Oreochromis niloticus: one gene and its partners. The protein of the gene in region 3 interacts with the protein of the main gene of each other region in a pairwise test. Links are inferred from orthologs where the notes say so. Each region holds a gene or a part of one and is shown on either strand. Other genes may lie near its edges. The genes, in order: hax1, serine/threonine-protein kinase 4 and sav1.

Region 1 (9,683 bases), on a different chromosome or scaffold from region 3:
CATTGATAACATGATACAAAATGAAGCTCTGCATGGTTAAGCCAACATTAAAGCTTCATTTTAACCCATTAAAACTACCTCATAAAAATGGTCGTCACGCAATATATATTCTCTATTTATCCAGGAAAAAGTCTCATTGAGGTTAAAATCTCTTTTTCCAACAAATATAACACATAAGATAAAAAGAGGACAACTGATATTTAAGTGAATGCAAACATCCATGCAGTATCAGATCACATAAATTCTGTATCTGCATCACAATAGTTTGATTATGATATATATGAAGCCAACTTCCACAGGAAAGATCCCGTTATCCTCGCTCCTCTTAATAACTGAGCACAGCAGCAAGACCTCGCACATCAAAGAGTATCCAGCACCTTTTAATGTTGATTAAACTTAAATTAATATCCTGTAAACATAGAAACTGAAAACCTGACACATTCATTTGCAGAGCAGAAGGAAAAGTTTTATGTGGAATCAGCTGATTAGGATGGACCAATGAGGAAAGGTTTCATAAACCCTCGTAAACACAGTTAAACAGAGGACGACTTGATAAGGTTTAATGGTGTAACTACAATGTAAAAAGATTATAGCACTTATAATACTGTCAGAGACATGATGACACACAAAGATGGAAAGTGTAACGTGATTTCAGTGACTTCCATCCAACACTGAAAATTTGACCCAATAAGCACCTCGGCCTTTCTCCACACTGAACAGCTGCTTTAGTGCACTTCTCTGTGTACCTCACACCGACACACACAATATACAGTATCCATCAGATATACAGCATCTCCACTCAGGTCATTTCACTCAGTGCCACCTTTAATAAACAAAAATAGTACATACAAAGCCACAATTATTCTGATCTCTTGGTAATGCGTTCACATTTATTACACAATCTTTTTAAATTTAGATCGTTTTGACTGGAAACAGCAAAGTTTACTAAATTAAAGTGGCAAAGGATTCGCTGTTTAGGTATCTCAGTTCAAATGAAAAACAAGCATCGACAGCTGACAGTGAAGTATTTGCACTGAAGACTTTTAATTCATATCAAAACCCTTTTAGACTCAAAAATGAACATTTGTTTGTTCATGTCTCTTCCAAGGTTATTGTAACTAAAAACTATGCTGAGCTAAAAACTAACTAAATGTTTGGGTTCCTATTATTCCGCTCGAGGTATTTTCTATGCAGCACAAAATACTGACTTTTACACCGCTCTTCACGAAATGTCACAATCAATCCCCAAGTTATTTCTTAAAGTAGAAAAAACCCAGTTTATCAGTTTTTAACTTCTATTCTTTCACTGATTTTCTTAATTCTTTGCCCACTGTCACTGTGATTTAACCCTCATATACAATAAATTTTCTTTTCATTTATTTCATTTGCTTACATATGTATCATTTTTCAATATACAGTTAGTTGCTTTATGTGTTGTTTTATTCTGTGTGATTAGAAAAAAGAGAAACTATTGTCATTTGTTTTGCCGGTCCATTTTTTCCTCTTGATTAAAATTTTAAAATGTAAAAACAAAAAAAAACAAAAGCATCTGTATTTGTATTTTATTCCTTTTAGCCTAAAACATTACCTTTAGTTTATATCCCTCTCTGGCTTTGAACACAGAAGCCCAACTAACTGCTTTTCAAACCTCTGAGATTTTCACCAGAGAGATGAACCAAAAATGACTTTTTCCACTGGCTGCACTGAGGTACAGTATCAGAAAAAAAAAATGCTACTCTGCTATAGTCAAGGTTAGACATATGGAGCCAGAGATTATTATAATAGGATCCCTTTAAAGCAGGAGTTAGTAACTGACAAACATTGAAATGTCAAAAAAGTTTAAATTTAGCACCATCTGCTACAGAAATGTCTGTTTTTGTAACAGACCCACAGTAAAAAAAATGACATTCAACTTTTTCTTTGAATTAAGAAAAACTTTGTTGTATAATTACGGGACAGTCCAGGCGATGAGCTACCAGATGTTTCGGTAATTTTGCACATTTACTAATTATAATTTAAGCACAACTGGTTGGATTTACAGACTTCTTTCATTTAAAATAACAGCATTTCTTTATCGTGTGGACAAACTGACACAAACGGTTAAATGTGTAAGCTCCTTTAAATTAAGAGAAAGGGCAGCGTCACTCGTCCGTCTCACTCGAGGTTTAAATGAGCTGTATAGAATGACTGTGACCCTGTAACTTTGTAGCCCTGTAGAGCCTGAACCATGAAATAGCTGCTAGAAAATGAAGCATTTATGGATCCTTGTGTCAAATTAAAAGTAATATGAATTTTAAATTGTATCATACGTCCAGCATTTTTTTTAAAGTTTTGCTTAAAAGTATATTGTGCAGTTGATTTCGTTTTCTTGATAATGTAGAAGCTGAAGACTAAAGATACCGTTACTAACAAAAATATGAGCCAAACAACTTTGTACATATATTAAGAGTCTTTATTTAATTCTTCACTCACTCACATCCACACAGGCTTGTCTACAGGACAATACAAAAATAAAATATGGAAACGTGAATTGTTCAGCGTCTCATGTGTCTCAGTGTGTCATCATCAATAGCTTTCAGGATCTGCAGCTTCGATCCTGCATGATCAGTTTGGACTTCCAGTTTCATCTTAAATGAGCCAGCGAGACTTTATCCAACATATTCATTTTGGCAAAGGAAGTCCATGAAACTGTTTGTCCATACATTGGTATGTAATATAAATATGCTAGCTCACATCTCTACTAACTCCTTCACATTTTATTTAAAGCCTCCAAAGAACCTGGAGAATAATGAGTCATCATCCCGCAAGTCTGAGAAGTGGTGGGGATCACCTGGAAGAAAACCAAAAATAAATACTTTTTTTTTTGTGTGTGTGTGAATAAACAATTCAAAGAACACACACCCGAGACAAGCTGACCTGGCAGCACAGGTCCATTCGCATGATCTGGTCCCTCAGAAATCCCAGAACCTCTCGAGCGAGTCACCGTGGTCTCCTCGTTGCCTTGGCCGTCTCTTACCGTACGCCTCTCCTCTACACTCTGACACACGCAAACGAAATGCTCATCAAAACTGAGACAAAACTATTAAAAGAATCACTATGAATGTATTAATACAGAATTAAGAAACACTCACCCCATCAGGCTTCACCACCTTAGTGACAGTGACAGACTGAAAGAAAGACCGTGTTCTGGGCTGGTTTGGTGCCTGACCAGCAGGTGGTGTCAAAATCTGATCCAAGCCACCAGAGGACACAGCCGAGTCCAGATCTTGGGAGGATCAGAATGGGAATAGAAAATAAATTTGACACAATCTAAAAGAGCTTCCACTAAATTATCAAATAAAATGTAAATATCACCACCCACCTCTGTCACCTTTGTGCTCCTCCTCTGGAGTTTTGTGTCTCCAAATATCATTAAACTTTTAAACACACAATACAAAAATCTCAGTGAATATACAATAGCTTGTGTCGCAACAGAAACAAAGAGGGAGGAGTGAATATCTCCTTTACCCTGGAAAAAGGGGTCCGGCCATGAAATTCAGGTGACTCGTAAGAAGGTCGGTGATCACCTCGGGGCTCTCTGGATCGTTGTTGTGTGTCACTGTCAGGATATTTGAGCATAAAGTCTCTCAGAGGGTTTCCACTGGAGCTTGCTTGCCCTCTCTCTGCTCTGTCCTGAGACGGTGGTGGTGGCATGATGTGGGGAACATCTAAAACACAAAGAGGGCAAAAGAGCAAACAGGTTAAACACAGAGCAGAGGAACATGTCGAGTTGTGGTTAGAATTTGAGTCTTCATGGGCATGGATGTCATGATTAATTTTGCGCTTTTAATTATTTCTTTTTCCAGGGTGAAAGAATTGTACACCATACATCTTTACTGACACTTTTTTACTTGTTTTTTTGGGGTTTTTTTACATTTCATTAAAAACAAGCGACATGAAAACATGTGGGTCTGTTTTCATACCAAAGTGTCCAGCCTCTGGATGTCCCTCCCAACGACCCAGCTGGGAGAATATCTCCTCCATCTCCCTGAGGACGTGGCCAAACATCGGGGGGTCCTGAATCCGCATCCCGTCCGGGCCAAAACTGAAGCCAAACCTCCAGGCGCTGTCAAAGGGGTCCTGCTGCTCCCCACTGAACCCATCATAGTGGAATCCATCTTCATCATCTTCATCGTCATCATCGTCATGAGTCATGGCATCGAAGAAAGGGTCCCTGACAGACGAAGTAACACAAATGTACAAGCTTTGAAATCTCCCTTTGGTTTAGAAACTGCGTTATAACATGCCGCCAGCAAACAGACCTCAAAGTACTCAATCGTATTAACTCCGTGAGCATAAATAACACCTAAATAAATCTAGCTGAAGGACCCCTGTGGTTTTCCTGGCAGAAAATACTAATCTTGTCCCTGACATAGCTGCACGCAACAGAAAGTGTACTAAGTTCAGCTAGCTTAGCCGAGTGTACAGCTGCGTACTTCGACGCCATAAACTCACCTCCGGCCACGATAATGGCCTCCGGGTACCCCGAAGAACCCGCGGAATAAATCAAAAACACTCATTTAACTGCAGCTTTGGTGGACACTTAAACCATAACTTAAAATGTGCAAGCAGCGGACATCCACTGGAGAAACTCGCCAAGATGTACTACAGCTGTCAACAGTGTCGTAAAGCGTTCTAGACGATTCATCATGACGCAATCTGTCGTAATGTTATTTTACCGTAAATAATAGATAAAATGGGCACTCGAAATAAAAGCGCACTGTTGAGATTCAGGTAACAGACGGCGGGTCTATGCCCGGGGCTGGCAAGATGGCTGTGTCTACATCGGCTCACTTCTCACCTTGCTTGTCATGTGCTTCATGGTGTTGTGATGTCAAGATGTATGTGCTCTCTGTGCAGAGGAGTTTTTTTTGTTTTCTGTTCTCATGCTGACCTCCCACAAGGAACCCAGTATGAGGTCTCTTTTTTTCATTCCTCCATTTGCCCATTGTATTGTACATTTCAGTGTTCTTCCAATTACTACCTGTCTCCGACCTGTCTTATGTATGTATGGTCGGGGGGGGGTCCAATTTCACTGCAGGTGAAAACTTGCATGTGACAAATAAAGGTTTGATTGATTGATTGATTGATTGGCAGTATGGTCAACCACCTTGAACCTTGAAGGGTACACCAGAATTAGACTACAGTTTGCACGGAGTCGACAAAAATTGGACAACAGAAGATTGAATAAAAGTTGCCTTTCTAATAAGTCTCCATTTCAACTGTGATATTTGGATGGTAGGGTGAGAATTTGGTATTAACAAAAAGCTTGGCACCATTTTGTATCGGTGGTTGGCACACTTTGGTCTCCTTAGTACAATTTAAACTCCACAGCCTTTTTGAGTATTGTTGCTGACAACTTCTGATTGCTGCTTCCAACAGGATAACAGGCCAAGTCACACAGATCAAGCACCTTAAACTGGCTTCTTGAACATGACAATGAGTTTTTAAATCAGCCTCCACGGTCGCCAGATCTCAATCCGATGGAGCACCTTTGGGATGGAGTGGAAGATTCACATCATGGATGTGCAGCTGACATATCTTCTGCAGCTGTGTGATGCTATCACGTCAACGGGGACCAAAATCTCTGAGGAATGTTTCCAGTGCCATGAAAAAATTTAAGCAGTTATGAAGAGGAAAAAAAAAAAAAAAGTACAATCTGCTGCTAGCAAGGCGTAACTGGTAAGTGTATGGCTCATATATATCTCATGAAATGAGAGTATAGTACAGTTATGCCAAATAGGATCAGAGCTCATTTAGAGAGAACATCTACAGCTTTTAGTATTTTTTTATTCTGATGCTCCAAATACAGAAGCTTTGCATGATTCAGAGTTTAAGAAATCCAATTTCTGCTACGTCTCACTTCATCCACTACCTGAAATGACCCTTTTCAAGCCCACTCATTGAGAGCCCAATGTCTTCTGATTGGCTGCAACTCACTTGGCTTCTAAAAACAGAACCTAGTGCTTGCAAGGTGTAATCACATATAGAAAAAAAAAAAAAAAAAAAAAAATCATACTAAGCTGACATGAGCTTGGCACAAGAAACCTAATAGAGACCAAGTGTTTAGAGCAGTCTGAAGCCTCAGCCAGTAAAATCAAATTTAGCTGCGTTTAATACAGTAAAAGACCTCAATCCAACACAGCACCTTTGGGAAGCATTTACTGGCATTTAAAAGTACAGTTCTGTCTCTCATTTGCCTACTAGAAAGGTGCCAAGATGCATATCTAGGGGGGTAGAAAATATATCATGGAGAAACATAAAATGCTAACGTGTATCCAAGACAGATGGAGGTTAAAATGTACAAAAACAAAATAAAGAACCAATACCAACCAATACCGTACATTACATGGCCAGAAAATGTGTGATGTAGTTATAAGTTTGGAGTTTCATTTGGTACTCGACATCCTGGAGTTTATTATGACTCAGCCCACAAACAGAAACCAACTGGAAAGCCTCCAGAGGTTTTAGTTCTACCCAACATGTCATCCACGAACTGTATCATGTATGTTCAAGTATTTAAAAGCCACATGAGAAACGTAGTTTCTTAAAAAGACATTCACATCCAAAATGATGAAAATGTCTTTTTCTTGTTTATTTACTTAATATTTATATATTTTTACAAAATAAAAAAAACAAAAACAAAAAAGCTAACAAGTCTGCAAGGATTTAAGAAGGAAAAGAAGAAAGCCATCGAACAAACAGGGACTACAGTACTTGTGTTTTTTTTTTATATATGTACAAGACAAGTTTATCCATTTAAACTTTTTTTTTTTAAAACGCACAGTACAAAAAGAAAAAAAAAAATCACTGACAAAAAAAAAAAAAAAAAAAAAAAAGAAAAAAGAAAAGAAAAAACCCATAGTACAATTCTGTCCATCAGTATTCAATGCCGCAGATTTCCTTACAATGTTGGGGGGACAGGTGGCGGGGCAGGGAGGGCCTCAGAAACAAAGTTATTCACACTGGAAGGCAGACTGGGTGTGTATTGGCCTTGGAAATCATTCTCATCTTTCAAAATAAGAGGGGCCTTATGAAATATTTATAATTAATGGGAAAAGTTACTGTACAAGTGTTGGATAATGAAAAAACAAAAATAAATCCTGTGCTAGGCAAAAAAACCAAAAACAAAACAAAAACCCAAGCACAGTACGCAACCATGGCCCCCCCGTGTGTACAAACATGCACGCAGTCACATGACAAACACACTTTTTCCTCACAGTCAAAGCCAGTGAGCTTGCTTATATGTCTTTATATATAATATATCTATATTCGGTAAAAAATAAACTTCACAACTCTACCAATTTATAGAATTGTTTCTGCAAACTTAAAATGACATTAAAAAAAAAAAAACCCCAAAACAAAACAAAAAAACCCCCAAAACATGAAAAGTCAACGGCAAATTATTGTGTTTGGAAATGGTTCAGGAGGGAAGAATTTCCATCAAAATTAAGGAACGGGGGAGTTGAGGGTCTGAAATACAAAACCAGCCTGCCCCCACCCCCTTTTAGAGATTACTTCATTCCTCCCCTTCAGTGGGAAAAAAAGTGGGAAAAGACAAAAAAAAAAAAAAAAAAAAGACCATACAGGAAACGTTCATTTAGAAAAACAGTTCTATGTTACAAGTGAAAGAAAAAAAATGGGGGGGCAAGGGGCGGGAAGATTAATACGATACAAATTCCCAACACTTAGTATTTCACCCTCTTGATGGTTTGCTTCTATCACCATTTATCTCCAATCTCCCCTCACTTTTAAAGCCCCTCCTGTCCCTCCCACCCATCCATCCATGCATCATTAACAGTGCTCGTTCTCTCGGCACAGCACCTCCTCTGACCGCGGTCAGAGCTGTGGGAGTGCTGGGCCAAGAGACTGGAGGGAAATCTCTGCAGGAGGAAGCGGGGATTTATATGTGGAGACTTATTTGCCGAAGGAGTGAAGAGCCTCCCACCCCTCCCAGCTTTTTGACACTGCGGGGGGTGGGGTCCCGTGAGTGGATGTTAGTTTGCCCCCCAGCTGTAGCTGTTGTACGCCGACTTGTTGATCTGAGACTTCTGTTGGATGGAGGCGTTCTGGCTGCGCTGTCCAGTGCCGCTCTGTGGAGGAGAGTCACAAAGTTCATCAGTGAGCTGCCGCTTCGTGCCATGTGTTTACCTAAAAGCAGCACAGCTAATGTCACGGTGAAACCACAAACACTTAATGAACTTGCCAACAAATCTTTTAAAGGCAATTCACTAGATTTGTATTACTACTTATAACAGTCTGACTGCACGATGCTCGAGTGCTACTTCATTTATTTTGAACGTGCTTTATCAAAAAGACTGGAAGTTGTCGACTAGTTAACAGCCTGAATATAAAAGATGGAGCTACAGTGATGTCGCCCACTCATTTTTCAGCGTTGACCATAAATTTTTGTCGCCGTTTAGACACTGGTGACTGAGACAGTGAAGGATGCCGTTTTTCAACCTTAAAGCCGACCCGATCTCAGGCTCTAAAGCTGTCGCTACATTGGTCACCGCTCGGGGAACTGGTGTCGACACACTTCCATCATTTACTTTCAAGTCTATGCATTTTTGAGCTCATTCAGACTGTTGATCATTACTATTTGACTCACTGGGTGGAGTTTCCTTGTCAACGAATAATGCCTTTGCTCCGCTTGTTTCTAAAAATCGCATGACCTCAAATATGTAAGCATTTATATATACACTGCACCTGTCCGTCTTGCTGCAGGTGGTGGTGCAGAATCTGAGAGTGGGGTTGTTGGTGTGGTGTCAGGATATGCATGAATGGAGCTGGAGCGTAGCCGGCAGCGGCAGGAGGGTTGATGGGGCCCCCGCTGCCCAGCGCAGAGGGCAGGCTGAATGATGCAGCTGGCGTCCCGGCGTGGAAGCCCTGCTTCTCAAACGACTGCAGGGGACCAGGAAGAAAAATAATCAGTTTGGCCACTATAACGTTTTTTTGTTTGTTTGTTTGCTGCTACAAGACAAGCAAAAGCATATCCTGTGAGTAAATATTTCTGTTCTATTCTGTAGTTACCTGCGTCTTTGTGTAAACAGACCCTGAAATATCTGGTACTCCCGTGTTGCTTGATGTCACAGAGACTCCTGCAGAGAGGGGGAAACGACACAAACTGAGCTCATTAACTGTTAAACCGAATATGTTACTGCAACCACCCACGTGGTTACGCTCCGATTCTAACCAGCACAGATGCTACTGGGTCGATGGACAACAAGGAAATTAATGTATAGACATTATCTATGAGGGGGGAAAAAAAATCCAAATAATAACAGAATACTGGGAAATTCCAAGTGTGAACATCTATGTGAGCACGAGTCCATAGATGATTTCAGCAGAATTTCCCTTTAGTGACGACGGCAAAGAGACTGAGGTGGTGAGGAAGGATGAGATGAACAGGAAGAGGAATCAGAGAAAGATGGTGTAGCTGAATATGTTTCAGGTTTGGGTCTGACTGTATCTGGTGGCTGCTGCTCTGGTTTGCTCTGACACTTCCTTTTTAACCCTATATGATATCAGCTTACCAAAAAAGAAGAGACTCTGGATATTAAACAAAATGCTAGTCCCGTCCCAGTTTTCTAATTCCAGATGATTTATTTTTTCAAACATTTTCAAAGAAAATTACCCAAATA
Region 2 (10,342 bases), on a different chromosome or scaffold from region 3:
GTGTGAAAATGATTTTTATGGTCTGAACTCAAAAAACATCCTACAAGATTTTTTTAAAGAATAAAATCCAGAAACAAAACAGCAGAGATGAGGGAAGTCTTTACAATACAGAGAACATCTCTGAACACTGAACGCTGTCAGCCGGTCTTTCTCTCGGTGTCTCAGGCAGCCTGATTTGGGAATCTGTGCCTCTCTAAAGCCAGCAAACCACATTCTCTACCTCACGCTGCCCAGTACAGCTCAGTACATCTGTAAGCCAAGCTGTCCAGTGTATCAGCGTCAAGCCACAAAAGAGAGAGTGAGAGCGAACCATTGAGATGCTAATCTACCACAGCAGCCCATGATCTGCTTTTCAAGTGAACTCTGTGAACTCCTAAAAATGCATGTGTGGATCTGCTGTGGCCAAAAGAGCTGGACTCCTGTTTATATTACTACAATTAAAATCCTTAAACCTAAAATCTCCTTTCCTTGTATATGCTTCAAGTATGTCTATTTTCCCTCTAGAAATTCAGTCACTGTCCGACTGATCAGACTGCTTTGTTCACTACCAACTCCTGCTTATAATATTCTTCGGTACTTATTAAAAGATTGAGAAAGAAAACCTTTAAAGTGTTTACATTTTTTTAAAGTGTCTAGCAAGCAGCCGTGATGGTAATTAATGAAAACTGTCACACACGAATGAAAGTTTTAATAAAGTATCCCAAGAAATAAGAGGATGCTAACAAGCAGCAGACATTACATATTAATAACATGAATAACAGACACCTTTAAAAACAATTAAAACTGTTTTTTTTTTTAATTAAAACTCAATGTGTATCAAATTTATCAAAGCAACATTAAACAGGGGTGAATGTATTTGGCCCAATGTTTCCTCTCATCTGTCAGCCACAACTCCGTCACACGTCTGCTTCATGTGTGCCAGATGTCAAATGTATGTTTTGACATTTAGACCACATGTGGCCCACCCGATGCTCGGTGGAAGTCACATACAGCCTGCCTCATGTCGTTTGGGGCCACGTCAGTCTCAGACAAACACTTGCTGGTATTCTTACTGAGACACACATCAGGCCCAAATGTGTCTGTTATATGGGATAAATGCTAAATCCAACTAACATACAGAAGGAAATGATTTTCTCTTCTCCTTCTAACTAGACACAAGGTCCTCAGAAACACAGGAATGAAACAGGACTGTAGCTGTTTACATCTGCATGGACCAATATTGTTCTAATCTTTATTTATAATCTATTTCCTTTTCCACGCCTGCAGACGTGCATATTAGGTTACCCCATGATTCGAAATTTGTTGTAGGTGGGACTGTGAGTGTGAATGATTGTCTCTCTATGGAAGCCCAGTGATGCTGGGGTGGTCTGCCAGCCACCAGCCTCCCTGCAACTGCCAACTGGATAAGCAGCTAAAAAAAATAGACGACTGGATGGATTTAGGTGATCTGATTTAGGAGACGATGAAAATAAAGTAAAAAGAACATTAAAACCTAAAAATAATATACCAAACAATTTTTTATATCCTAAACTGAACAAAAACAACTCATGCAGTCTACAAAAATGCTCCTCAAATTCACATCAAGCAAGTACAGCGTTTCTCACATACAGACTTTACCTGGGCAGGTGACCCAGGTATGTTAACACCAGTCCAAGTTTACAAGTCTCTTTTTATCCATTCAAGAAAATACCAGTGTCAATTTACTTGGAAATCCTCGCACTCTTATTTTGAAAGACCCATCACTCCTAACAAACCAAGTCCTTCCTGTCTCTTGACCTCCTCCCGGCAGGTTGTTATTGTAACACACCTTAGTGTCATTCAGCTGCTTCTACAGGGTCTCGTGTCCCGGGTTAGAGAACAGACTCATGTACCACCGCACTGAGCTCACAGAGCAGAACGATGACTATCATCACCAGCTGCAGGGCAAGACTGTGCAGTCCATCCACAGGACGACAAACTCAGTAGAGCAACAGTGGATTTTATTAACCTGTTACTGATCTGCACAAAGTACTTGCTTACTAAGGTATTTGAAGAGGAGGGCCCCATAAAAGTATTTACTTAATTATTCATAAAAGATCATGACTGTGACTCCCCCACACACCCGAGGGTGACACTGAAATACATCAGGATATACAAACATGGTTTTATAATTCAACACAAAGCCGAACCCAGTCTTGCAATAACAAGGGATGAAACAAACACAAAAGTCCTGCGTTACATCAGCCCAATGAGGAAACAGTGGATGAGTGAGTTGAAAATGATAATATAAGAGCGGCGAGTTTTACCAGCACCCTCCTGATAAGAGGAGATAATAGGAACCTCTGAGTTCCTACTGTCAAACACACTGAGCTCACAAACCAGTTCCCACAACAAACAAGTTCACGTCTGTTATGAGCTGCTTAACATCCACATACAGTGATGACAGCGAGGAGAAAAAAAAAAACAGGACGCATTTTTAATGAAGAGTTTGTTGTTTAGTTTTTATTATTCTGATCATTTCCACTTACATCGGGGTTTGTTTTTTTAGCGTTTATGGTGAAAATGTCTCTAAGGCTGCTCAATAATGGAAAACAATCAGTTATTTTGGCTGATGCTATTTAACACGATTACTCAGACTTAAGAAAAACTGTAGATTTGTTACATTTTAAATAATAAAAGATCCATTGCTTACTCTGAACTTAAATTATAATTAAAAAAACCTGCGCTAAATGCGCCACAGCTTAATAGGGAGTGAATCTGAACTTCTTTGGCACAAGAGAGGGACAAAGGTAAAGAAAAGAGATGTGTAAGGCCAAAACAAGAGCATCCTGAAATATGTTTTCCATACAATAAATAATTTATATCCTTAAAATATTCAATATTCTACACATACTTTAGAGGAGCATAAATCACATTAAGAAACTTGAATCAGAACTTTGTGGCACTTTTGTTTGATTTTAGTCACTTTCTGCTGAACAGTTAATTCTTTATGTGTTTTATATTAGTGTAATTCTACAGAAACTAAGACTGTGATTCAAACAGCCAGAATATCACATCGAGGCTCCAACTTCCCATACCTTAATAATACCCAAGTGGAACTACGTTTAAGGACTGCTCAGGAAACGAGTGAACTGCAAACACATCATAATAATGGAGTTTATTTATTGGTCATGAATAACTGATCAGGCAACTAAGACTTTCCTGTCTTTTGTTATTCATCTCAAGAATGACACACACACACATACATACATACATATATATATATATACATACATGTATGTATATGTGTGTGTGTGTGTGTGTGTGTGTGTGTGTGTTGGTATTTTACAGCTTATTTAATATTGCCAGTACCTGCCAAAGCACTGTAGGTGGAAAACATTTAATTACTGAATTTGGTACAGGTTTTATGTGTATAGCACCAAACACATAACGAAAAAAACTAATGTAAACTTTAGAACCTCATAGAATAGCCATTGTTCGCTTATTTTAAAACAACTTTAATCTGAACAGGACATTAAGCCACTCCTGTCTACATATTTTTCACATATACAGTTTATCTCTGCTTCCTTGTAAAAGCCTAATTACAATATCACAGATTTCACAACTTCATATCTGAATCAGGTTATCTGCAGTGTAAATAAAAGATCTACAGGTGCAGAGACACAGCATCCACACACAGGAACAAAGTCCCACATGAATCACACTCATTTCATTAAAAAGGGGTTTTTTTTCTAACCCCCTGTCTTTCCACCTGCCACAAACCCAGTGCTGTGGACACCCCACACACTCGCACGAAGTTTCACACACACAGCTCTTCTGTCAGAATTACTGCGCGTTTTATTGACTCTGAGCTGATTCAGTAACAACCTGTTGGAGATTAAAGCAGATAATCCGAGATCTTCAAAGAGATTTACGGCATTAAATTAGATCACCGGGCCTTTGATAGTGACAAGCCCAGGGATTTGACACAGCAGATCAAGTGTACACAGGCGGCTTGGTTAATGCAATAAGAGCTGGGCTTGCGTGGTACTGACAGGCCACTATTTATTTAATCAATTAAGAGAAAAAATGTTCTGCTTCCTAGTTCTTAAGTGAGAAAAGTTTGGATTGACAGGAATAATAAGACTGACTTTAGATTTCTTGTTACAAATTCTGGATATTGTGAAAGAACAACATATACGAACAGACTCTTTTAAGACATAAACATAAACTAAATGGAATGCCCTGCAGACACAGGACGGCACGACCCATTAAAGTTACCCATAAAAAGACTACAGGGGACACGGTGAAGCTTTAAAGACGTTTTACCTTAATGTCTGTTTTATCGTACAGTCGCTTATGTAATGCTACAGCCTCACTGAATAGATACCAGTTGGCCGGAAGATTGCCACCCCACTGACAAACTTCACCGACTGCTACCGTTAGACTGATAAAATCAATGAGATGCCAGCAATCAAAAAGCCCGTTTTCATTCTTAGCATAGCTTTACCTGCGAGGGTTATGCCTCATCTGTACTTTGTCCTTGTAGTCCATGATGTCCTCTTCAGGAGACCCAGACTCTTCTGGATCTTCTGGCCTGCAGTCAAACTCGGAGGGAGCTGGCCAACGTTTCAAAGAAGACACTCGATGCTAACAGTAGCAGACCGCTTAATGCTAACTCGCTCGCTAACTGGCTAGCAGCAGCTAGAGGGACAGTTAGCCCGCTCCTCCGCCTCACAGCAGCCTCCCCGCTGCCGCCGCTGCTGCCTGATATCCGCCAAAAACACAACGTCCGGTCATCATTCTGCAATACAGGCTCTACACACACTGCGGGTTTCTTCCAGCTGCCGTATTCTCATCACTGAATTCATCCTCCTCCCCCGTCCTCCAACTTTAGACTTGTTTGACAGACCGTTTGGCAGCCGCTGTAACATCCACCTGAAAAAACCAGGAAGTGTAGTAGAAGGCGGTGCAAACAAAGACTGCAGTAAGGGACGCGGCCAGCAGGGGGCACCGGATAGACAGAATCCATCCATCCAACGACAGCTGTCCAAGTATGTCGAATAAACCATTATAAAACCAAAACATGGGTTACTAATATTATATAAAGTTACCATATTCTGTTTTTTTTTTGTAAACTCTTTTGAAAGCAACTGGCGTGAGGAAGTTTTGGTGAATTTATTTACCATTTAATTTAATTCAATTCAATGTTATTTTATTTTTTTAATGTCAAATCACATCAGCACTCACCGCTTTATATTGTAAGACAATTTTAAAACGATAAAACCTAAACTAAAACAAGCAAACATTCTCTGGAAACTGAAAAGAACTGCAAAGGAACTGGTTTGGTTCAGCGTTGCTGTTTCTGCTGTTTAATGTTTTCTTGGAAAAGGTAAAGTCAGACTGATCTTCTAGGTGGCCGGTGCCAACTTTGGTTCTTCATGTTTGGAGCAGAGCATGTTTTGGGTTGCTGTTGTGTTGGAAAACAGAGCAATGACCTACACCCAGATTTACTGCTGACTGCCTGAGGTTCTCTTTCAGAATCTTTACACATCTTTCTTTCTTCAATTCAGTTCAGTTCAATTTTATTTATAGGTGAAGTCTAGTGATAGTTTTCTTTGAGACTAGAATAGAATAATCCTTCAATTGTCCCACAAGGGGAAATTTGGTTGGAGGCTACAATTCCTAACTCAGTCCTTAATGCTTTAGAAACATTTATTACTAGCTTTCTTTCTTCCAGAGTCTTTGAAATCTTTCACTCTCTGCCTCTACCAGGCTTGTTCTGTACAGAGCAAGTCTTTAATTTCTTTGTAATACATCTCACTTCAGTTTGGAAATGTTTTAATAACTTATAATGCATATCCATCTCCTGCTTTGTGAGCATTAATGTCTACACTTTAATCTCTGAAAGTGACAGATAAAACCTAGAAGGTTTTAATAACTTGTATAGGATAACCCTCAGTTTGAACTTGATTTTGCAAGCTTTGAGCATTTTCAGTAGACAAACTCATCAGTGCTGCCCACACTGGATGCTCCACCTCAAACGTCAAAGCATTTTCAAAAATGTCAAACTGATGAGAAAATTTGACAGTACAGTGAGGTAGTCAATAATAAATACAGAGATACAAAAGATACATTTGATACTCATTAATATTTGAGTCCAGTCCAACCCCATTGTTGTTTTTGTCTAACACTTCAGTGGGATTCAAAGCTTATTTTTAATAAATCACAAAGGCAGATGTTTTATCATTAATAGAATAGTTTATTTCAATGAACAAAAACAGCAAAGCGACGTTTACATCTGATCAGTAGGTAACGTCAAGGTGGAGGTGGAGAGGAACCATCTTTTAGACCAGGAATGAACAACAGGGAAGCAGAGCTGGAGGAAGGAAACAACCAAATATTAGAGAAGCACGTGGTTTGATACGTCAGTAAACAAGTTGATGAGCACGACAAACTTTTTGTTATATTTTGTTTAAATAAAAAATACTATTGTTACTGAGCTAGTATAAAATAAAATACTATTCCAGTTTACATAAAGATTTAGATTTAGATTAAAAAGGTCTAAGATTAAACAAAAGCTGTATATAAAAGATGGATGCAGCCACCATGACATCGCCTATCGGTTCGTAAAGTCACCGTCTCACAGATGTTTTGAAACTTTATGTGCCTGCGAGGTGCAGACCTGACTGAGAAACAGAGTGATGCTGTGAGCTCACATGGCAGCAAGCTGTCAATCATATGGTAGCCCCGCCCTAAAGCAAAACCTTGCTGTATCATCCATTTCTGACTCCATAATTCATAAAAACAGCCATCATATTGTATTAAATGAGACTTTAAACGATTCAGAGACCACAAACTCCACAGAGCCGACGGTCTTTTTTCTAAACACTTCTCTTCAATCTGAATTCTTTCCAATCAGAGTAAGCGCCCCCTGTTGGCCTTTAGAAAACACACAAATTCAAAGCACCTCAGCATCAGGCACCAAGCTGCATTCGTCTTTTAAACATAACAATTTTACTAAAACAAAACCTGAGATTGCAAAAAAACCAAAAAAACATCTGCAATATTGTGAAATGCTCCATCCCCATGTACTGTGATACTCATGCATTGCTTTACTTAACACTCATCTTAAAGAGTGAAGTGGAAATTCTTCAGAATAATGGAATTTATCATTTGTTTAGGATTCAATTAGGGATCAGGCCTGTGGTTAAAAAAAATAATAAGAAAAAAGACTTTTAAAAACATTTTTAAATGATTTAACTTGTCAAAAAAAAAAAGTCTGGGATCTGCATCATGCTTTTGAAGAATTGCTACAGCACCTAATACAAAATACTTTCCAACAATGGCAGAGTTGTTTAACGATGCACAGACAGCCTTCAGACACTTTCTTGAAAAGATGGCTGCTGTAATGTTTGTTTGCATGCCAATAAACCTGATTAGATCCACTTTTCCTATATTTAAAGCTAGCTGTGTCTCTTGTTCCAACCACAGATGTGAACTTTTTCCTTTGAATATGCAGCCATGCTCAGTCACAGAAACTGCCCATAAACAAGAAAGTTGTCACAAACTGCAGTAACAATAAATTCTCAAAACCTGCACATCTTGTATCATCAGAAAATATTAAGAGCCTAATCGAAATATCCTAAATGAAAGTTTCCATGATCTGTTTTAAATTAAGAATATCATCTTCAGAAAAAAGAAAAGAAAAAAAAGAAAGCAGAACGTTAATGGTCAGAAACACCATCATATCAGATATTACACTGCATATGATACCGAAGTTTGAAATGACAATATTTAAAGGCAAGTGATGAGGCCCTCACCGTGGCTTTACTTCCCAGTGGGCTGCACACTCTCAAAGATCCCGGCTTCCCTCATGGCGTTGAACTCTTTGACGGCATCGTACTGCTTGTAGAAGTCTGCATAGGCCCGTTTCTTGGGCTCTGTCACCGTGTACTGTGGGGAATAACAACAAAAACAATAACAGAGCTTTAACTTACTGCAGGTAAAATTAGTATAATTGCAGAGATAACAGAGTAACAGAGAGACACAAAGTATTAAAAGTGAAAGTGGGCTGCTCACTGTGCAGCAGAGTAAGACTGGTCACAATAAAAAAATATTATATTTCTGTATCTATTTGTTACCATCCAAAGCTTAATGTCTTTGAAGTGAAGCTACGGTTTCAGCTTAATCTAACATTTCATCACATCTTATAAACTGATCTGAAAAAAAGAAGTTTAACTAGAAAATAAATACAATGAATAAAATATGATGACAACAGAATAGCCAATCAGCTGTCTGCTGAGCTGTAAGTGGATCCAGATACTGACAGGAAACTTTGATGTGTTCCTTTCATCACGGCTGTGTCATTTTATATCTTGGCATCACCATCAGAGTTGTGTCTGTAGCCACGTGAGTGTGCGTTGTCCTCTCACCTTGAATGCAATTGCAGCTGTTAAAGCCAGAGTGAAAGCAATGGGCAGGTGAAACCTCAGTCGCTTTGCAAGCAGCCCCCTCATCATTGGCTTTGGCAGAGACATGATGAATCACCTGCAGAGGAAAAAAAATACACAAAATGTAATTTTAATTTCCCCCAATTATTAAATTCTGTACAAATATCAGGGAAAAAGAAAAAGAAAGTACTGTCTTTATATAATTTCACTTTAAATTGTTTAAAACAATCATTTCCTGGTTAGTGTAAAATAAAAGCTGAATTTAACAACCTAATTTGAAGAATGCCTTGATGTAAATACACTGAATACAAATCATATTGTGTGTTTTGGTAAAAGTGGAGTTATAAAAATAAGACGCATGTTATTTTATAGCTTCCATGTTTTACCATCATCACCATGGAAGCTTTTATAGAGACAATAAAAGCTGCAGTGACAACAGAGAGAGTGACTGTGGAAGGAAATATGGGAGAAAACATGGATGAGACTAAATGCCCTGCAGACAAAGTTTAAGTACATCCAAATACTGCAGCACACTAAAAATACCAGGATGCCTGTTGTACTTGGATTTATTTTGATGTATGCATGCCAGCATGCTTTGGTGGCTACTGTGACCCACAATCCTCTGCTGCAGCTGCATGCTCAGCAAGGGGGTCAAAGGTGAAAGTGCACAAAGTATGTTGGAATTGTACACATACTGATACTGCAGTATTCTGTAGTTTTGTTGTGGTAAATGGACTAAATGGGCTTCTAACATAGTCCTTTTTTGTTCTCAGCACTCGAAGTGCTTTATACAACCTGCCTTATTCACCCATTCACAAGCACTTTTTCCAATTATTTTTCTATGTCAGTTCTTTCTAACATTCACACAAATTCATACTCTGACGGATGCATCAGAGAGGAATTTAGGTTAGTATCTTGCCCCAAGGATATCTGGAATGCAGACTGGTTGCCTTGGATCGATCCACCAACCTTTTGATCAGTGCATGATCTCTTTCTACCTTTCCACTGAAACACATTTAATAGAAACTGAATCTAATGCAACTTCATAAAATAAACATGATCAATTTTTAAGACAAAAAACAAAGATTTTAATTTATGAAACTCATTTTTGGATTTTTAGACCATTAAAAAACAGAAACCTTGTTGGTGACAAACCAAGGCTGCAAATTTCCTCACTCAAGAAACTGAAATCTGAAAATATCTTCCATAAGACACCTTTTTTTCCTAAAAACTGACAACAATTAAACTCACTATTTTATTAACTTAATAATAACCAACTAATCAAATCATTTACATCAAAATCGGTACATTTTCCTTGAATTTCTCACATTTGATAAATAAAAATACATTTCATACATGAGTATATTAACCCTACTTAAACATAATGTGTAAAAAACACATTTATCTCAGTCCTGATTTTTTTTAACATCACTGGAAAGTTTTAATCTTTTAAACATGTGTTAGTCCTGCAACTAACCAGTCAACTTGAAATGCATGTAGACACTTATTCAGGCACTTATTCTGAATCATTTCATAGACTTAAGTTAATTTCGGTAGTCGCCAAAATATAAAAACTACATAAATAAGATCCCGAGTCTAACATTTGATATATCTGCTTTACAAATAAGGTGTGATAAAAGCTTTATTCTGCTGGAAGTTATACCGCCATCTTTTTTGGTGCAGATTTAAATCCTGGATTCTTTGATGGTCATGTTTCCTCCTCACGTCTTTGGCACCAGTTAATAAATAAAAGCAGGTAAAAGCACCCATCTGAGGATGGCCTCAGGTGGGTCCTAAATCGCCTGAAGGTCGTTAACAGTCACCTCTAAATGAACCTGCTGTTCTCAAAACCCGGCTTCACCTGAATTAACTCAATACGACATACAGGATCCAAGAGAACAATGAAATATTGAAAACAAGCAGAATGAAAT
Region 3 (10,769 bases):
GGGCAGAACAGACTGTGACCTTTTGCCCTTGTTAATCTCAGAACCGTGTTTTGGAGATTGCCCTGCACTCGAGCGGTCTGCAGAATCACAGCAAGAAGCTGTACAGAGATGAGATGTCTCGGCTGATGGAGCAGGAGCAGCAGCTACTGAGGCAAGAAAACGAGAGACTTCAAGCTGAAGTGTGCAGCATCAAAGGAGACCTCCTCCAGTCCAGAGAAAAAGTGAGCCGAGCGCCACAGAAAAATGGCAGGCTTTTAAAAGCTGATTTTTTTTATTTTTTTTATTTTTTTTTTATTTTTATTTTTTCTTTTTCCTCTGTTAGTTATGTGAGTGGTCTTTTCTGTGTTTGCAGGTCCGTCAGCTTGATGCTACCATACTGTCCCTGAAGCAGCACAAACATCAGAGTCAGTCCTCCCTGATGAAGGCCTTGGAACAGGAAAACTTCTCTCTTAAAAAGGAGCTTGAAGCACAAAGGGAGCTTACCATGGTGTGCATTCATGCTGCTGACTATAACCAAAGAATGTTCCGATTATATAAAATCAGAAATTCTTATTGCATGTGCTTTTCATTCAGGGCTGTGAAGGTGGACAAAGACGCACTGAGCTGGAGAGCCTTCAGCAAGAAAACGAGGCGCTCAAGGCTCAGCTGGCTCGACTAACAACACAGCTGCTTGAGGTACTCCAGCTTTTTTCTTTAAAGCTTTCTTTGGATAGACCAGTTTAACAAGAAAGCACAATAATTTAAACAATATTTGTTCCTATTTACAGACTTTTCAGGCACAATTCATGGGACTCCTGCCTCCATCACCTCACAGGATGCCCAGAGGACAGCACCGTGGTGACGATCCAGACAACATGCAGGTACAGTGCAATTCAGAACTTCCACAATGGCAAACCTGACCAAATATATAACCGTTTACCTCTTAAGTAAGCTTGGATATAATAAATAAGTACTGCATTAGTACATTTATAGATTGCCGTTCTTTTCTCACACTTATTTTTTTCGATCACATTGCACTTTTTTCCCTCTTTTGTTCTTAATATTAAATTAATCTTTGAAGCCTGTGCACCACTTCTCATGCTGGTTCACTTTATAATGGGAGTTGATACATAGACCTTTGACACAGCAGCTTCAGTTTGCCATGAAATCGTAGTTAAACGCAGGTTTTTCTAATTAATGTAGGTTCTGTTCTGTGTATTGAGTGTCTTCATTAATGTGGTTAGAAGCACCTGTGTTTACCACCTCCTTATTTCCCTGACTGCTGTTACTTGCTCCGATATTAAATAATGTACAGCATTTTCATATTGTACTTGTGGCTGTAAATGTCAGTGAAAAACTGGACATCACTAACATTTTCAACATCATAGCAAAAAAAAGTGTAACCTGAGCTGTGTCCTCCATTCCTCGTCTGAGTTTTCCGCTCCTTTCTTTTTCTTTTATTTATTAAAGCTGGGTTTGCTGTGTTTTTGTTTTTGTTTTTGTTTTTATACCTGTCGTAGATCCATTTGTGCACCCATCTGTCTTCATCTCCTTTTGTCATATCTGTAGAGTTTACCTTCATGGGTCTGGTGTTTTAGCTTGTGGCACCTATTTTTTTTTATTTTGTTTTGTTTGTTTCTGAATTCATTGTCTTTTATTTTCAACCTTGAATGCTGGTTGAAATAGGCTGAAGTAGTTGCCATGGTGTGATCATCTGGGTGTGGTGGCTGATTTATTTATTTATTTATTATTTTTTTCCTTTTTTCACGTTTTCTCCCACAATCTGCATAAATCTTCATTTCCCGAAAAATACAAGTTGTCCTTTTATACTTATCATATGTGTAAGTGGCATCTTCCACCTTCATCTATCATCACCAGGTTGCCATTAACACAGTGGACTTTGTTAGCAACAAAAACATTATGCACAACATCTGCAGAAAACTCCATTGCTAGTTTACTTGCAGATTAAGTTTTTCTTCTTTTTAGTAATTGCTGACTTAGTCCTAGTTTGCCCACATCTTTGTTCAGCACTTCATCAGTGACGATCAGTTAATAATTGACGTTTGAGATCCCTGTATGTATGATTAGTCCTGCTGTTCATGCTGGCTTATACAACTGTCCAAATCCACAGTGCTTAAACAGTGGACTATAAATTTGAAAACGAAAAACTAGAGAGATGTTTTCTTAGCCAGTATGAACAGGAGGAATGCTGACATCCTGCAGATTGATTAATCTGCATTCATATTAGAATTTCTAGTTTGTCTATCTTCATTTATTCAATAGTCTACACACATCTCAGGCATAAAAAGCCCATCTTTAGAATTAGAGGGTAGAGCCCTGGTGAAGTGTACCTGCCTTTTCTCTCCAGGGGGCGATGCCGGAGCAGCGGGCGGCACACGCAGACAGCTGCCGGCGGATCGGTGGATTGTAACGCCAGCGTCATTTCCTGCTCTTCGCTTTACAGACTGCTTACATTCTGCTCTCCCTCTGTATCCGGAGTAAAAATCTGAATGTGGCACATGAAGCCCCACATTTGTGGTGCCAGAGATAAATGGCATGACGTTGTAGTTGTATTTCATTGCTGCTAGGTGGCAGGGAAACACAGAAAAGGCTCCTGGCTTGTTTTCCAAATGGGATTTTGATCACATTAATACTTGCATTGACAGTTGATAGACTGTATGTTTTCTAAAAAGAATAAATAAATAAATAAAAATGTAACATCACTGAGCTTATATAGACTGGAAAGAGGTAGGACCAGACCTTTGGTGGATTCATTATACATCCTGGTCGCAGTGAATCTTTTCGATGCAGGGTTTACTTTCTGGGAATGACTGTTATGCACTTGTGTCTTTTTAAAACTTTAAAGGGTTTATGACAGGGTATGTATCCTCGGAGGAAAAATCCTGTCATCAAGGGCCAAGGTTAGTGCCTGACAGCCTTTTGAGTCTTTTTCTAACAATCAAACCATTCCCACCTGTTGTTGCCAGGTGATGCTACCTGATGCTATTTGTGTGCAGTCAGGGTTCATGGAGATTGTTCAATGAAGATACCAAGTTTTTAGTCCTCTACTGTCCTCTACTGTATATTTGTGTTCTGGGCCTCTTTTGTTGCTGCTGAGCACCCAAAGTGAATCACATCTTTTTGTTTTTCTTAAGCAAGGACTGATCAAACATGTTTGGTAATTAATTTTCAATGTTTGGCTGGTATTTATTAAATCTTTGTGAGGTTGGTAGTTTGTCTTTAGTACAGCGTGTCATTATGTCCGTGTTTTGGGTTTTTTAATCATTTAGTGCATTTTTGTTCTTCCTATGATGCACATCTGTTTTATTTATTTTATTTATTTTTTTCATGTTTAGAGTTTGTTTTATTTATTCATTAATTAATATTTTTTGTAGCTATATCTGGAATATAAGTCATAATTTTATACTTGTATTTATTTTTCTAGTGAATCATCCTCTTTAGAAATGTAACAGAAATCCATTAATAAAGAATAAAGCAACTAGCTCACAAGAAATGGTGTCTGACTCATCTCACGCTCACATTTGCAATTGTTTTGTTTTTATTATATTTTTTTTTCACCCACTCAGAAGCTGAACTCATTTTATATGGTAGTCTTGCATCAGCAGCAGTTTGACAATGTCCTTGACTGTCTTCTCCCCAGGATGAAAGGGAGACGAAGATGAAGCGCATGGAGGAACGAATGAAGGAAATAGAGTTGTCTCTGCATAATGTCAAGCTGCTGCTCAAAGAGAAAGTTGCTCAACTCAAAGACCAGGTCAGTTCAGTTTCAGTTCAATGGCTTCCACTAATTTTATTTTATTTATTTTTTTATTTTTTTGTAAGGTGTTGTACAAAGCTGGACTGCCATTTCAACAAAAATCTACTATACATTAGCTAATTTGGTAACAATGACAACGCAACACAACCTGTGGGAGAAGATAGACAAAATTTAATATTATTCAATAATGAAACATACTTGGTGCATAATGGGAGGTTCCCCAGCAGTCTGAGCCTGTATCAACATGGGATGGTTCAGGGTCATCTGCAAACTATAAGCTTAATCAAAAATTAACTATTTTTAAAGTAGAGAAGGGCATCTGTCACCTGTAACTTGGAACTCTTTCCACAGGAGAAGAGGCCTGATGAGATCTGATGGGGTCTCATTGTTAGTTTATATGTTAGGAGGAACATTTGGTACAGTTTGATAGTGATTGCAGGAGTCCAGCCAAGAATTAAAAACTGTATGAATTCATTTTTCCACATCACTCCGAGATGCTTGGCAATTCCACAGAGATAAAATAAAAAAAACTCAGAATTTATCATTAGAAAGGTTATGTTGTTAATTTAAACTATACCCATATTGTGTTTTCTGTCGTAGATAACTCCATTTAGTCTTCATAGCAATGGAAATGTATCCAGTAAAAATACTACCTAAGAGAAATGGTATGGGTCCTGGTACAAAACCTTGTGGAACTCCATAACTAAAACCCCTTTTTTTTTTTTTTTTTTTTTCGAACAATTTGAAATTATTCAAAACATTGCCATGTAATGTAACCCATTACAATCAATTATCTACTTTGACTTTTCTAGCTGCACAAGAATGGCAAAGCGGACGTACTAATCAAAGATCTGTATGTGGAGAATGCCCAGCTGCTGAAGGCTCTGGAGATAACTGAGCAACGTCAGAAAATCGCGGAGAAGAAGAACTACCTGCTGGAGGAGAAGATCTCCAGCCTCAATAAGATAGTGTGTGACCTAAACCCGTCACATCTTCCGCTGCCGTACCATTATAAATGATCACAAGGGATTAACTTGAAATGTGTGTCAAAGTCAATATTTGCACTGTATCTTTACTAAATACTTTTATTTTATTATATTTATCACTGCTGCAAACTTTATGCAGCAGATTCTGCCAATTCATGAGAACTGGTGGTTTTATGTTAAATATGCAGTATTTTTGTCCATTTAATTCTAACCAGTAATTAATGGGACCCATAAATAATTAAATATGAGGTCAAACTGCAAAGAAGACATGACTTTTTACAGTTATTTATATTTTTAAAGCACTATTACCTATTAGTAAATATCTTACCTTTAAACTTGCTCTCTGTCCAAAGAGAGGAAAAACAATTATGAAGTGTACTTTTTATACAAGTGTTCTGTGTTTGAACTGTCCAAAAGTTGTTTCTCTAGCCCTATTGTAAAAGAATAAATAGAAACCTGTCGTTCGGTAGTAAAATCATGCAAACTGAGAAGTCAAATCATGTTTTACCTAACACTACTTGAAATTGAAAAGACTTTAAATGTCTATCAAGTGGCAATATTTTACATGTCATTTTACTTTTAAAGGAAATTGTATGATCTGTTGCAATATGTAAAGGTGTACAGGCTATGTGATTATGGTTGTTCTGGCTTGAAAGAAAGTACCTTGTTATTGTAATTAATTGTAATCTGCATTTATTGCAGAGTAAGCATTAGAGTTAAGACAGGGTAATGGCTGTGCTACAGATATAAATAAAATGAATGGATTGTGTTTGGTGGTTTGTAAGTTATGGCTTTTTTTCATTGGACATACACATGATAACAATAAATGTGATTCAAGCAAAATCAACATATTTAAAATTCATGCCAACCATCCATGGCAGGAATGTCAAACTTATTTTACATTGTGGTCCAACATCCAGCTAAAGCTGTGGCCTAATAACATGTTAGAAGATGCCTCTTAATTATTCCCCTTTCTTTCAGTGTAAAAAAGTTCAGATAAATATTAAACAACTGAGATGTCTTAACAAAAAAAAGTGTATTTTCAACAGTACGTCTCACTCTTTGCTGACAAATTTCTTTATAATGTACATTCTTTAGGTTTATGTCTGAGTAAATGATTACAGCTACAGAAAAAAAAACACTGGCATCCCACACTTTATACTGTAAATAAAGTTGTTGGGGGTTTTTTTAACCTGTGGCTCCGATACAAAACAAAAATGTAAATAATGAAAGAAAACCATTTCATATCATTTATTCAGTACCTACTTTGGTGTATGAAAGGATAATGTGTTTTTAAGAGAAGCTGTAAAACTGGACAATACAGATAAAAAAAAATAATCTGCAATTTCCACAGTGTTTAAGCCATCTAGTGGGTCAGTATAGACCCTTGAGAAGCCTGTTCCAACCCCTGGGCCATTTAACATCCCTGACATACAGGTGTGACCAGAAATGTAGTCACTTTAGTCTAAACGATCAGTTAACTCTCTACGGCTTTAAAATGCTGCTCATGGTTTGCTGCTTTTGTTGTTTACATCCAAAGTTTGCACAAAACAGACATGCATTAAACAATCTGTATGAAAACGTGTATAAGTAAAGACAACAGAGATTTAGGAAAAATTTAACTGATATTTTCTAACTACAGTACAGTTTTTGAACACTGTAGTATAATAAATTTAAAGGTATAGGCTTAATTATTTATTGATTGCCATCCAACCTTCAAAAGTCTCTCATGTCAGTTTATTTCTAAATCAAATTTTCATATGTATCTGTTAATACTGTGTTTATGTCACCGAAGGGCCCCACGGTGGTTTTTGCTCCTCTCTCTCCTCCTTCAGATGGAAGGACTTCCCAGTAGTGGGACTGGATCCGCTGCAGCAGCACTGACGCTCCCTATGGCTTCAGTTAGCTGGCTAACTGCGGCTAGCTAATCCAAAGCTGCGGGGAAAAATGTTGACTTTCCGCGCTTTGCTAACTGGCCGGTATGGTTGCAAAGTCGAAGGATTGTGCCATGACTTTACCTCACCGTGCTGTTGATGTTTTCCGAGCCTTGAGTTATGCTCTCACGAAAGAAAAGTAAGAACGAAGCGTCCAAACCAGCCGAGGTACACGGGAAGTATGTGAAGAAGGAAACGTCGCCGCTCCTGAGAAGTAAGCGCAACAAGTGGTTAGCTTGTCAGCTAGCCCCGAATAGCATCACTCAGCTCGCTAGTTAAAGTTAAACACTGTTAAAGCTTAGTTGGCTAACATTAACAAGTAATGTAAAATTACTCTGTGGGAACATTTATACTTATTTTTAAAGCTCCCACGATTGTAAACAGCAGTTTAATGCTGTACAGTCTAACCAAACACAGCTACGATGATAGTTATTGTAGCTAAATGCTACATGAGCGCCAGTTGTAGTGTATAAAGTTATAAGATAATGCTTACAGCTCTAAATGACTCAGCTAAAGGCATATTATACTAGTAGATTAGTTTAGTTAAAAGTATTTTTTTAGTGTCTGTAATGACTTATGATTATTGTGATAGCTGCTGTTAGGTGTTTCTATTAGAGTATCTATAGAAGTATTATGAATGTTCACTGGAGTGAAAATAGCAGTATTTTGTAGAAATGGGGGTATTACTAAATTACCTTCTCGTGTAAAAGTTTTATTCGAGAGTCAGTAAACATTATAATTCAGGTATGAAAATTAAAAGTACGCGATTTGGCTCCTATTAGTAAAATATTCTGTTTTTATTATGGGTTTTTTGTTTTGTTTTGGTTTTTTCAAGTCATCAGGCATGAGCAGCTCCAAGATATTGTGTTGCCTTTTATTGACATTTGCTCTGCTGACCTGATTGCAGATCTTATGCCCTCCTTCATCCGTCATGGACCCACTATACCCAGACGCACAGAGGTCCCTCTGCCAGAAATGGTGCCTTCTTCCTACCCTTTGGCACCCAGCCGGGAACCTGTGGTGTCCCGTAACAAGAGTGTCCTCCGTACCCATGTGCAGAAGACTCCTCATGAGGTGGCCCGCACAGAGAGCCACCGCTTGTCTGCACCTCCGTACCTGCCTCGCAGTCTGGGAGACATTTCGCATGAGTATGGAGGCTCATCACAGTCCTTCCTTACAGACGTGAGTCCCATGTCTGAGAATGGAGATGCCCGGTATTATTACCCCTCTGAACCTTATTATGAAAACCAGCAACATCAACAGCAGCAGCAGCGCCAGCCAAGGAGAGTCCCAGACCGCTTTCCTGAAGACTATAGATACTACGAGCACAATGAGCACAACTTCCAAAGACATCCCCGACAACATACTCCCCCAGCTCCAAACAGACCCCCTTCAGGTAGATTTTACATTTCTTTGTGAAGCTCCCTTTTAACGCTGTTCATGTCTTTATTTATATATTTTAACGAATTTAAAGAGGTTTTGTGATAAAAGCAAGAAACACCTAGTTTCAGAAAGTTTATGACTGACATCCCATCAGCAACTTTTTAAAATTTCCCCTTGTAGACCTTTTTTTTTTTTTTTTTTTTTTTTTTTTTTTTCAAACCCTTGTTTCTTTGGTGTATGGCAAGATGTAGTAGTGTCAGTGGCTGTACTAATGTATAATTTCTGTTTTGAGTATTATGGATGGTTGTCCAACTACACAGAGGCCACTCTGAAAGGAATGCAGGCCACTAGTTGTCAAATTGAAAAGAGCAATTTCATTTCAGTCTTTATTTTACTGCTCTGTGTTGTAAACATTACTATGATGTAAGTGTAATTACATTGAGATGGGGGGGGGTTGGGGGCACGGGAATGCTTCTTGTCCTCCTCGTACCATAAAGACACTTTTATTTTGTGGCTGGCTTGTCAGTGTCATGTATACAGTTCAGTATTATGTCAGGCCTGCCGATCATGTAGCCTTGTTTGGAGTAAAGTCAAACAAGCATTAGAGGCTCTGCATTTTTCACCACTGTGTTTGCTGAAACTTTCTGCCAGCAAACTAGTAATTTGCACATTGCCCCCAGTCAAATGTCTCAGCCTCAAACTGCTCGCTAGCATGAATCATCCTTGTTACGTATGTGCTGATCTCTTTATGCTTGCATTTAAAACACAGTGAAGTTTGAGAGGGGTCACCCCTCAAACACTGGCAGACGTTTTTTCATTTTGATAACAGCATGTTTTTGTCCCGTAAATAGTACTTTTTAACAAGAAAATAATCAAATCAAAGCAGTTTGAAAATAACTCAGAAGTTAAATGTTGGTGCAGGGATTGACGTTATTTCTGAGTTGCGTGTGTTCAAGTAGTGAAGTCAGAAGAAAACAAGGGAAAGCATGATTTGTTTTGTTCTTTAACAAGGTAAAGTCATTCAAGCATCACTTTGAATATAGTGCAGTCTTTTTTTGTGCTTAAAAACAACGCTGTAGCATGTTTGTGCATGACGCCCAGTCAGTACAATGCCACTATATGTTATTACAGCGTGGCTCTGTGGTATAGTTGGTCACATTTGCTTTAAACTGAAATTATGGTTCAGTGGGGGTGGCATGCTGGCCCATCTACCTGCAGAGACCGTCTGTTGTTGGACAGTGTCCAAAGTATGTTGTACAACCGGTCTGTGGGCTACTCTTGCTTGTCCTTTTGTTGGTCCATCAGGCAGCCAGGTAGAAGCACAAGCTAGTGCCCAAGCCCAGATAAGGAGGGTTGTATCACACAAGCATCTGCTGGAAAATCTCAGCCAAATTGGGTATGAAGATCTTGTGTGGCAACCCCTTGGGAAATAAAAGAGAGTATATACTGTTTAAGTGGTGTCCTATACTATACTGAAGCCCCACACACCTGCTGTTTAAACCTCGTGTTTGCAAAGGGCAGCCAGTTAAAAGAAAGAGCGGTTAGTTCTGGATGAACTGAGGGGCTTTGTCAAGGCTTAACTCTTAATAGGGCACTCATTGAAATACTTGGAAATTCAAGTCAGGTTGTGCTGTTCTGTGACATGATTCTTTGACACAACAGCATTTTCCCTCTTTCTATAAACGACCTGATCAGACAGCTGCAAAAAAAAGGACAGAATGTTTTTGAGTCGATAAGTGTAGATTTACTGAAAACAAAAAATATTGACGAATAAATTGTACATATTTACTAAGAAGTGGAAAAATAGCATTATATGTACTGATTGTACCACTTTTTTTCTTATATGTAATTAAGTCAAAGATAAATAAAAAAACAAATAGTGAATTATTAAATCAATTTTAGTAGAAAAAAGTCTCACAGTAAAAATAAACAACTATATATGACTTTTAAGTATAATATAAAACGGAGGAAATCACATTTCATAATTCTAAACTTGAAAATGTGTACAAGTGTTTTAACCTTCTCAATGGATCACTGTTTAATGTTATACAATGCTGTGGCATTATCCAGTGTACTATCAAACTTAAAGTCCTACATTATAACGTGCTATTTCTTAAATAGCATGTTCTGGGCCACTGCAGATTTATCAGATGTCACTGTCTGTCACATAGCTTGATCTTTCCTGATTGGTTGGGAGAAAGTTCCACACCTCACAGACATATGTGGTTCCTCACCTGATAAAAGCGGTTGATATGAGACAATTTAGGCTTATTTTGAACTCGTGCAAAAAGCTGCTGAGCTACTAGAGTCCAGGTGTAAAACAGAAATGGGCATAAGTTGTCCCTCTGCAAACCCTGAAAGGGTGAGCCTGGTATAGTTAATCATGTTATTTTCTTGTGTGTGATTGATGTTTTCATAAATGATCCCAGTTTCTCTCTCTCTCTCTCTCTCTCTTCTTTCCATGTTTTCAGTGGTGTTTTCCCTAACGTGATGTTATCAGTCTACCCACTTTGTTTCATTCAGCCCAGCCATTAGCTCACAAGCATGATTGTAAAATTTGCTGCTTCTCACTGTAATCTAAGAAATTCCTGTGATGTTTTGAGCTTTAGGTCTGCTGTGAGCATTTTTTTTCTGAAGGAAAGGGCAGACATGATGATCATGATGATGAGATGGGGGTGGTGTAGGAGGAGGAGTGCATTTCTGTGGAGC

The links.
Region 1: the proteins of sav1 (region 3) and hax1 interact in binary tests that used the Homo sapiens proteins (3 or more experiments, as listed by UniProt). The link is inferred for Oreochromis niloticus from reciprocal best matches to the Homo sapiens genes SAV1 and HAX1.
Region 2: the proteins of sav1 (region 3) and serine/threonine-protein kinase 4 interact in binary tests that used the Homo sapiens proteins (3 or more experiments, as listed by UniProt). The link is inferred for Oreochromis niloticus from reciprocal best matches to the Homo sapiens genes SAV1 and STK4.

Annotation. Positions count from the first base shown.
Region 1 is NC_031985.2:17,528,046-17,537,728, reverse strand, and holds hax1 (HCLS1-associated protein X-1), read right to left. Parts: upstream 4,706-9,683; 5' UTR 4,560-4,705; coding exon 4,495-4,559; intron 4,214-4,494; coding exon 3,963-4,213; intron 3,708-3,962; coding exon 3,508-3,707; coding exon of another isoform or gene 3,489-3,507; intron 3,417-3,488; coding exon 3,362-3,416; intron 3,266-3,361; coding exon 3,132-3,265; intron 3,038-3,131; coding exon 2,902-3,037; intron 2,831-2,901; coding exon 2,757-2,830; 3' UTR 2,435-2,756; downstream 1-2,434. Other genes in the region: ubap2l (ubiquitin-associated protein 2-like), read right to left, coding at 8,037-8,132, 8,749-8,943, 9,073-9,140. UniProt on the Homo sapiens protein: Recruits the Arp2/3 complex to the cell cortex and regulates reorganization of the cortical actin cytoskeleton via its interaction with KCNC3 and the Arp2/3 complex. Slows down the rate of inactivation of KCNC3 channels. Promotes GNA13-mediated cell migration.
Region 2 is NC_031970.2:4,652,753-4,663,094, forward strand, and holds the start of serine/threonine-protein kinase 4, read right to left. Parts: upstream 4,969-10,342; 5' UTR 4,513-4,968; coding exon 4,469-4,512; intron 1-4,468. Other genes in the region: cox6c (cytochrome c oxidase subunit 6C), read right to left, coding at 7,789-7,914, 8,394-8,498. UniProt on the Homo sapiens protein: Stress-activated, pro-apoptotic kinase which, following caspase-cleavage, enters the nucleus and induces chromatin condensation followed by internucleosomal DNA fragmentation.
Region 3 is NC_031983.2:21,072,536-21,083,304, forward strand, and holds the start of sav1 (protein salvador homolog 1), read left to right. Parts: upstream 1-6,553; 5' UTR 6,554-6,797; coding exon 6,798-6,891; intron 6,892-7,584; coding exon 7,585-8,073; intron 8,074-10,769. Other genes in the region: nin (ninein), read left to right, coding at 42-221, 353-487, 574-675, 768-860, 3,641-3,754, 4,570-4,776. UniProt on the Homo sapiens protein: Regulator of STK3/MST2 and STK4/MST1 in the Hippo signaling pathway which plays a pivotal role in organ size control and tumor suppression by restricting proliferation and promoting apoptosis.